Linked DNA regions of Lepisosteus oculatus. The protein of the gene in region 2 purifies or fractionates together with the protein of the main gene of each other region. This does not show direct contact. Links are inferred from orthologs where the notes say so. Each region holds a gene or a part of one and is shown on either strand. Other genes may lie near its edges. The genes, in order: arhgef1 and gna13b.

The links.
Region 1: the proteins of gna13b (region 2) and arhgef1 purify together in Homo sapiens (affinity purification with western blotting; 5 studies listed by BioGRID and IntAct, with this or other methods). This does not show direct contact. The link is inferred for Lepisosteus oculatus from reciprocal best matches to the Homo sapiens genes GNA13 and ARHGEF1.

The regions. Positions count from the first base shown.
Region 1 is NC_090722.1:10,274,537-10,278,455, reverse strand, and holds the start of arhgef1 (rho guanine nucleotide exchange factor 1), read left to right. Parts: upstream 1-1,623; 5' UTR 1,624-1,954; exon of another isoform or gene 1,955-2,291; intron 2,292-3,129; coding exon of another isoform or gene 3,130-3,919. Other genes in the region: uncharacterized protein DKFZp434B061-like, read right to left, coding at 3,130-3,919. UniProt on the Homo sapiens protein: Seems to play a role in the regulation of RhoA GTPase by guanine nucleotide-binding alpha-12 (GNA12) and alpha-13 (GNA13) subunits. Acts as a GTPase-activating protein (GAP) for GNA12 and GNA13, and as guanine nucleotide exchange factor (GEF) for RhoA GTPase.
Region 2 is NC_090704.1:39,941,998-39,945,916, forward strand, and holds the start of gna13b (guanine nucleotide-binding protein subunit alpha-13b), read right to left. Parts: upstream 2,728-3,919; 5' UTR 2,617-2,727; coding exon 2,334-2,616; intron 1-2,333. UniProt on the Homo sapiens protein: Guanine nucleotide-binding proteins (G proteins) are involved as modulators or transducers in various transmembrane signaling systems.

The DNA.
Region 1 (3,919 bases), on a different chromosome or scaffold from region 2:
GAGGGGTTAATACAGACACACTGACTGGACACTCCAGTACATTAACACTGCACTGAGAGAGAGGGGTTCATACAGACACACTGACTGGACACTCCAGTACATTAACACTGCACTGAGAGAGAGAGGGGTTAATACAGACACACTGACTGGACACTCCAGTACATTAACACTGCACTGAGAGAGAGAGAGAGGTTAATACACACACACTGACTGGACACTCCAGTACATTAACACTGCACTGAGAGAGAGAGAGGTTAATACAGACACACTGACTGGACACTCCAGTACATTAACACTGCACTGAGAGAGAGAGGGGTTAATACAGACACACTGACTGGACACTCCAGTACATTAACACTGCACTGAGAGAGAGAGGGGTTCATACAGACACACTGACTGGACACTCCAGTACATTAACACTGCACTGAGAGAGAGAGGGGTTAATACAGACACACTGACTGGACACTCCAGGACATTAACACTGCACTGAGAGAGAGAGGGGTTAATACAGACACACTGACTGGACACTCCAGTACATTAACACTGCACTGAGAGAGAGAGGGGTTAATACAGACACACTGACTGGACACTCCAGTACATTAACACTGCACTGAGAGAGAGAGGGGTTAATACAGACACACTGACTGGACACTCCAGTACATTAACACTGCACTGAGAGAGAGGGGTTAATACAGACACACTGACTGGACACTCCAGTACATCAACACTGCACTGAGAGAGAGAGGGGTTAATACAGACACACTGACTGGACACTCCAGTACATCAACACTGCACTGAGAGAGAGAGGGGTTAATACAGACACACTGACTGGACACTCCAGTACATTAACACTGCACTGAGAGAGAGGGGTTAATACAGACACACTGACTGGACACTCCAGTACATTAACACTGCACTGAGAGAGAGAGGGGTTCATACAGACACACTGACTGGACACTCCAGTACATTAACACTGCACTGAGAGAGAGAGGGGTTAATACAGACACACTGACTGGACACTCCAGTACATTAACACTGCACTGAGAGAGAGGGGTTAATACAGACACACTGACTGGACACTCCAGTACATTAACACTGCACTGAGAGAGAGAGGGGTTAATACAGACACACTGACTGGACACTCCAGTACATTAACACTGCACTGAGAGAGAGAGGGGTTAATACAGACACACTGACTGGACACTCCAGTACATTAACACTGCACTGAGAGAGAGGGGTTAATACAGACACACTGACTGGACACTCCAGTACATTAACACTGCACTGAGAGAGAGAGGGGTTAATACAGACACACTGACTGGACACTCCAGTACATTAACACTGCACTGAGAGAGAGAGGGGTTCATACAGACACACTGACTGGACACTCCAGTACATTAACACTGCACTGAGAGAGAGAGGGGTTAATACAGACACACTGACTGGACACTCCAGTACATTAACACTGCACTGAGAGAGAGAGGGGTTCATACAGACACACTGACTGGACACTCCAGTACATGAACACTGCACTGAGAGAGATTTCTAGGGGAGCGAAAATAATGTGACACATTGCGGAACTGAGTGAGCGAGAGAGGGGGGGGCATCAAGTACTTTTCGCCTGAGAGAGAGAGATTTAACCGAAGTCTAACAGGAAGAGATTGTAAGCGAGAATCCCCATCCCCCGCCCCCTCTAAAAAAACAGACCAGCGGTATTTGACATAGTTCGCGGGGCTGAGCTCGGGGGGGTTGCTGGACGTGTACTCACAGCTTTCCAGACTTTCCCCACTCGCGAAAGAAAAAACACTCGAGCGTCTGGGGCGTGAGGTTTTTGCAGTCTTGTTCTGGGCACAGTATGTGCTGCGCGGGTGACGGGTCGACGCTCGCAGACAGGAAATAATCGGCAATTTTGTTTCGTTTTACCCCCGGGCTGCAGACTCCGCCGCCGTCGAAGGTAAGACGCGCAGAAACGTCTCATTCGGACAGATCCGGCGGCGGGCTGGTCCGGGGTCGGGGGCTGGTGGGAAACTCGCCGCTGTCCTGAAGTGGGAAGTTTGTGCGGAGCCGCGCCGACACAGCCGCCGCTCTTTCCGGTTCGAATCTGTTTCGACCTCGCCTGACGGCGGCTCCGACGCGGCCGGGTGTCTTCCGCGCTGCCGCAGTGCCGAGAGGCCACCGGCAATACTAATAATACTAATCCAAATACACTATTACCGACCGAGCGCTGTACCTGACACCTCCGGACCGAGTTATACTGTCGTGTGCTGAGTAGCACTTTAACGCACTTTACTGTCCTGGACTTAATAGTACTTTAATCCACTGTACTGCAGTGCACTGAATAATAATTTAATAAAATATACTGTAGTATGCTGAAAAGTACTTTATCTCGCCCTATTTACACGTCCTGAATAATACTTTAGTATACTACACTGTGGTGTTTTGTATAGTACTTTAATGCACTGTACTGTAGTGTACTGAATAATAGTTTAATACAATATACTATAGTCCACTAAACAATACTTTAGTATACTATACTGTAGTGTGTTTAATAATACTTTCACATGTTATGCTGTAGTGTCCTGAATAGTACTTTAACATGCTCTACTGTAGTGTCCTGAATAGTACTTTAACGCACTATAGCAAACACTTAAAAGTACTTTAATACACTATACTGTAGTGCACTGTATAGTACTTTAACACACTATAGCATACAGTACTGCATAGTGTTTTGACACACCATAGCGTACTGAATAGTACATTCATACACTATGCTATACTGTGATATACTGAATAATAACTAAATACACTATACTGTAGTACTTGAGCACAGTATACTGTAGTGTGCCAAATAGTACTTTAATACACTTTAGTCTACTGAATAGTGCTGTAATACACCATAATGTAGTGAACCGAATAATACTTTAATACACAATACTATACTTTAGTGTACTGAATGGTTATTTAATACGCTGTACTGTAGTTTACTGAATAATACTTTAATACACTATAATGTACTGGTGTGTTAATTACTATCGGTGTGGCGGTCAGTGTGCTGTGTTGGTCGCTCTTGGTGTCTGACACAGACGGCGTCACCTGCACACAGCGTCACAGTGTCTGACACAGACGGCGTCACCTGGGGGGGTGTAGTGCAGGCTGTAGTCTGGGGGGGTGTAGTGCAGGCTGTAGTCTGGGGGGTGTAGTGCAGGCTGTAGTCTGGGGGGTGTAGTGCAGGCTGTAGTCTGGGGGGGTGTAGTGCAGGCTGTAGTCTGGGGGGGTGTAGTGCAGGCTGTAGTCTGGGGGGGGTGTAGTGCAGGCTGTAGTCTGGGGGGTGTAGTGCAGGCTGTAGTCTGGGGGGTGTGTAGTGCAGGCTGTAGTCTGGGGGGTGTAGTGCAGGCTGTAGTCTGGGGGGGTGTAGTGCAGGCTGTAGTCTGGGGGGGTGTAGTGCAGGCTGTAGTCTGGGGGGTGTAGTGCAGGCTGTAGTCTGGGGGGTGTAGTGCAGGCTGTAGTCTGGGGGGTGTAGTGCAGGCTGTAGTCTGGGGGGGTGTAGTGCAGGCTGTAGTCTGGGGGGTGTAGTGCAGGCTGTAGTCTGGGGGTGTAGTGCAGGCTGTAGTCTGGGGGGTGTAGTGCAGGCTGTAGTCTGGGGGTGTAGTGCAGGCTGTAGTCTGGGGGAGGTGTAGTGCAGGCTGTAGTCTGGGGGTGTAGTGCAGGCTGTAGTCTGGGGGGTGTAGTGCAGGCTGTAGTCTGGGGGTGTAGTGCAGGCTGTAGTCTGGGGGGTGTAGTGCAGGCTGTAGTCTGGGGGGTGTAGTGCAGGCTGTAGTCTGGGGGGTGTAGTGCAGGCTGTAGTCTGGGGGTGTAGTGCAGGCTGTAGTCTGGGGGGGGGTGTAGTGCAGGCTGTAGTCTGGGGGGTGTAGTGCAGGCT
Region 2 (3,919 bases):
AAAAGAAGAAGAAAGCAAAACAACGTTTTGGCTGTCGAGCCTTCTTCGGGTGTGATCCTATCAGAGAGGTCAAAGACTCATCAATAATACTCCGTATTTAAAGAAGTAGGGATAAATTCCAAAGCAACATCTTGCATTACTTATCCCTCCATCCATCTTCTAGCCACTTCATCTAATGAGTTCCAGTGGAACCAGACCCTATCCCAGCGAGCAATGGGCTCAAGGCAGGGTACACTCTGGATGGGACGCCAGGTCATCGCAGGCCACACACACTCACACCAGTGCCAATGTGCCCCAGAAGCCAAATAACCTACCAAGGTGTCTTTGGACTGCGAGAGCAACTCACGCAAACACAGGAAGAACATACGAACCCCAGGCAGATAACACCCCGGGTCAGGAACTGATCCCAGAGCTCTAGCGCCGAGAGGTAGCACAACACCACTGTGCTGCTTTTGCAAGGCTTGTACCATTCAAAATTAATTATACACAGTTACATGAGTCATAACACATGATCTCGTCATTCAAGGGCTATGAATTACTTTACACTTTCACACGCCGATTTATTGTGCTAGGGGAAAAAAAAACTCTGCTCTGCTCCAAAATTAATAAGAAAAGAGTATCAAAAGAAGCACGCAGCAAAGCTATAGCCTGACCTATCCAATAATGCAATGTGTGACACATGGAAAGGTCATGCAGCATGCTGCACAAAGAGGGGGGAAGGATCTTAGCAAAGTCAGAGCTCTAACAGGGAAAACTCCACCTCCAATACGAAAAATACACCTAGATATTCACCTTCCCTTTGCGGTCTTGTGACCACAAAAGCTCTAAAGATAGAAGAGCTTGGAAAACCTTGCCCATCGCTAAATGTAGCAGTAAAGGGAAAACAAAATCATTCAAACAGACGGTCTGAACGGATGCTGTAGGTTGTCTATTTGAACAAAGCCAAGCCAGTCCCTTTAGAATTCTTACTGCCCAACAAAGCCTTTTAAACCAGTACTTCATGCACGGCTGCTTCTTATTTCCCCCTAAACCACTCATTTTTACTGCACCCTCACTGAAGCACAACTCTCTTTGAATTCACGTTAAAGAGTTTCTGGTTCCGTCACAACGACACTGTTTCCCCCCAAGTATACAGTACAATCATTATCTGTAAAACAGGTCTCTCCCTGACAGAAATGTTGCTTATAAACATCGGAACAAGCGACTCACTTGATGTCACTGAGGAAAAAAGACTCATCTGTGCGTCTGGACTGGCCTCGGCCTTCTCCCCCCACACCGGATATGGCCACTTGCTTCCCTTCAGAAATGTGTTTCTATTTCTTTAACACTGCTCATGCGACCTCTGAAACCGGGACAACACCCTACAGCTATCACCTTAAATCAAACAGAAGAGTCTGTAGATGCGAATCGCCCCGCCGCCGTCTAGTTACACATCCAGTAATTATTAACGTTCGCTGCAGACAAAACCTGTTTGAACACCAGTAAAGGAAAAATTCAAGGCAACTGAGAAGACGAGATAACCCCGGGAACGGGCCGGACGACAGGAGAAAACTCCTGAATTCCGTCTCAAATACTTCTACAACAAACAAAAAAAAAAAAAGAAGGGGCAACCCGCTTTTTTAACCTTCCCTTGGCAGGACATTTTTTTTCTTTCCAAGTAAAACACTCAAATCACTCGTCAGAAAACTTAAAACGGCACCGCCAAGCCCAGGTTTCACCAGGGGGAAAAAAAAAGACTCTCGGCTTCACTGCAAACAACTGAAACCGTGCCCTCGCTTCTCACAAAAAAAAAATGAGCCAACGAAACATAGTAACTGTTTTCAAAGAGTCATCCCCAACTTGGGCGTTTCACCTCTACCCAGATTGCGTTACATCGCGGTGTGAAATGCAGATATCTGGCTTTTCTTCGCTGCAACGCGTGGATACCGTGCAGAGCTTTTCTGATTGTGCACCGTTTACAATAGCCAGGCTTCTCCGGCAACTTTTGAGTGGCTAACCTCCCCAAAAAAAGTACCCACCAAGGGGGAAAAAAACAACAACTCCTCGTGCCAGATTTCTTGAAGGGGGGAAAAGAAAGAGAAGCGTGATTACACACGAAAGACGAAAACGTGAATTAGCGCCCGATTAACCCCCCTTCCTTGTCTAATACAACCAAATAACATGGGCGTTTCTTCTCTCTACGGTCGAGGGGATGTCTCCCTAAGAACACAACTTTACTTCTGACCCGCTCCTCAAGTGCGCAACTCGGCCGTTTAAGAAACGTTCCCTCCCCCCTCCGAAAACCCCGAAAACGAACCCCAGTCGGGCCGGACGACTTTCTTTTCCGAACTTACCTTTAATTACATTGCTGTAGATCGTAGCCCGGAACTCTTCCTTGGCCCTCTGATCGAAGTCCTGGCCGTGGATGATACGCATTTGCTTGAGGAAAGTGGACTTGCCGCTCTCTCCTGCTCCGAGCAGCAGGATCTTCACCAGCCGCTTCACGTACGTTTTATCCCGGGAAATACATTTGTCGATCTCCTTGGAAATTCTCAGCTGCTCTGCCTCGCTGCTGTTAAGAAGGCAGTTAGGAAAACAAACTGATAAAACGGACCGAGACGGCAGGAAATCCGCCATCTTTGAAGCAACTTCATCGATACAGCAGGGAGGGAAAGGGCGCGCCCCCGAGAGTCTCAGCTCCGAGGCGGGCGGGGCGCAGTCGCATTGTAAGGGCGCGCACGAATGCGCGGCGTAACTTCTACTGTGGTTTTAATAGGGGGTGGGGTTTGGAAAGAGACGTAGAAGCGTGGCCTTTACTTGGTTGGATGTGGAAATCCGTCATTAAGGGCTCATTTTTGATAAAAATAAAATCAGATTGAAACTCGTTGCTGTTGCAGATGCGACTCCTTGTAGACTATTACATCCAGACGCGCAGGTCGACAGAGCTTCTATAAAGCGTTGGTCTTAACGGGCTACTGCTGCACCAGGGTCTTTCTTTTGTTTTGGGGATCCCCTGCCTGAGGAAAGAGAAGACCCCCGCTGGGAATTGTCGGGATCCTCCGCCCCTGATTGAAACCGAAAACCTCAGTGTCCCAAATTAAACATTATTTAATAGTTTTAGAAAATGTCACTTGCATTTAAACCCACAGTTAAGCAAGGACAGCTCAGCTCTTTTGTAGGTGTTTATCCTGCGAAATTCTAGTCGCGTAATTACTCATTTCCATTTTCATCAGGGACAACGATAATCCTTTGTTTATTGTTTCAATAAGCGTTTGTTTCTACAATATGAATTGTTCAAAGTCAAACACTACAGTTCAGTTAAGATCAGTCTCGGACTTAATAGTATGCAAAATAATCAGAAACAGAAATTGTTGTTTGTTAGATTGATGTATATAATAATATATGTATTATTAATAGGTAAAGTTTTGTTTTCTCACATTCATTCATTAGCTGCTTCATCCAATTCTGGCTTGCGGGGGAACTTATCAGAGCAAGCAATGGACGCAAGGCAAGGTGCACCCTGGACAGGGCTCCACCCCATCGCAGGCCAGCACACGCATACACTCACACCAAAGACACTTTTCCCAGAAGCCAGCCTGCCAGCACATCTTCGATCTGTGGGAGGAAACCCGAGCACCGGGAGGAAATCCACATGAACATGGGGAGAACGTACAGACTCCACCCAGATAGCACTGTAGGGCTGGAATTGTACCCAGGGCCCCAGCACTAGAAGGCAGCAATGCGGATCACTGCACTACTGTGCACTGTGTCAATTCTGTTTTCTCCTGTCCCATATTTCCAAGGTACAAGCCTTACCCAAAGGAGGGTTCAAGGATGGCATAACCCAGGGTGGTGTCCTCATATCTGAGAAAGTTGGTGGGGATCTCCGTTGTGGAGCACACACGGATGGAGAAAAACACAGGCGCACAAGGAACAGCCT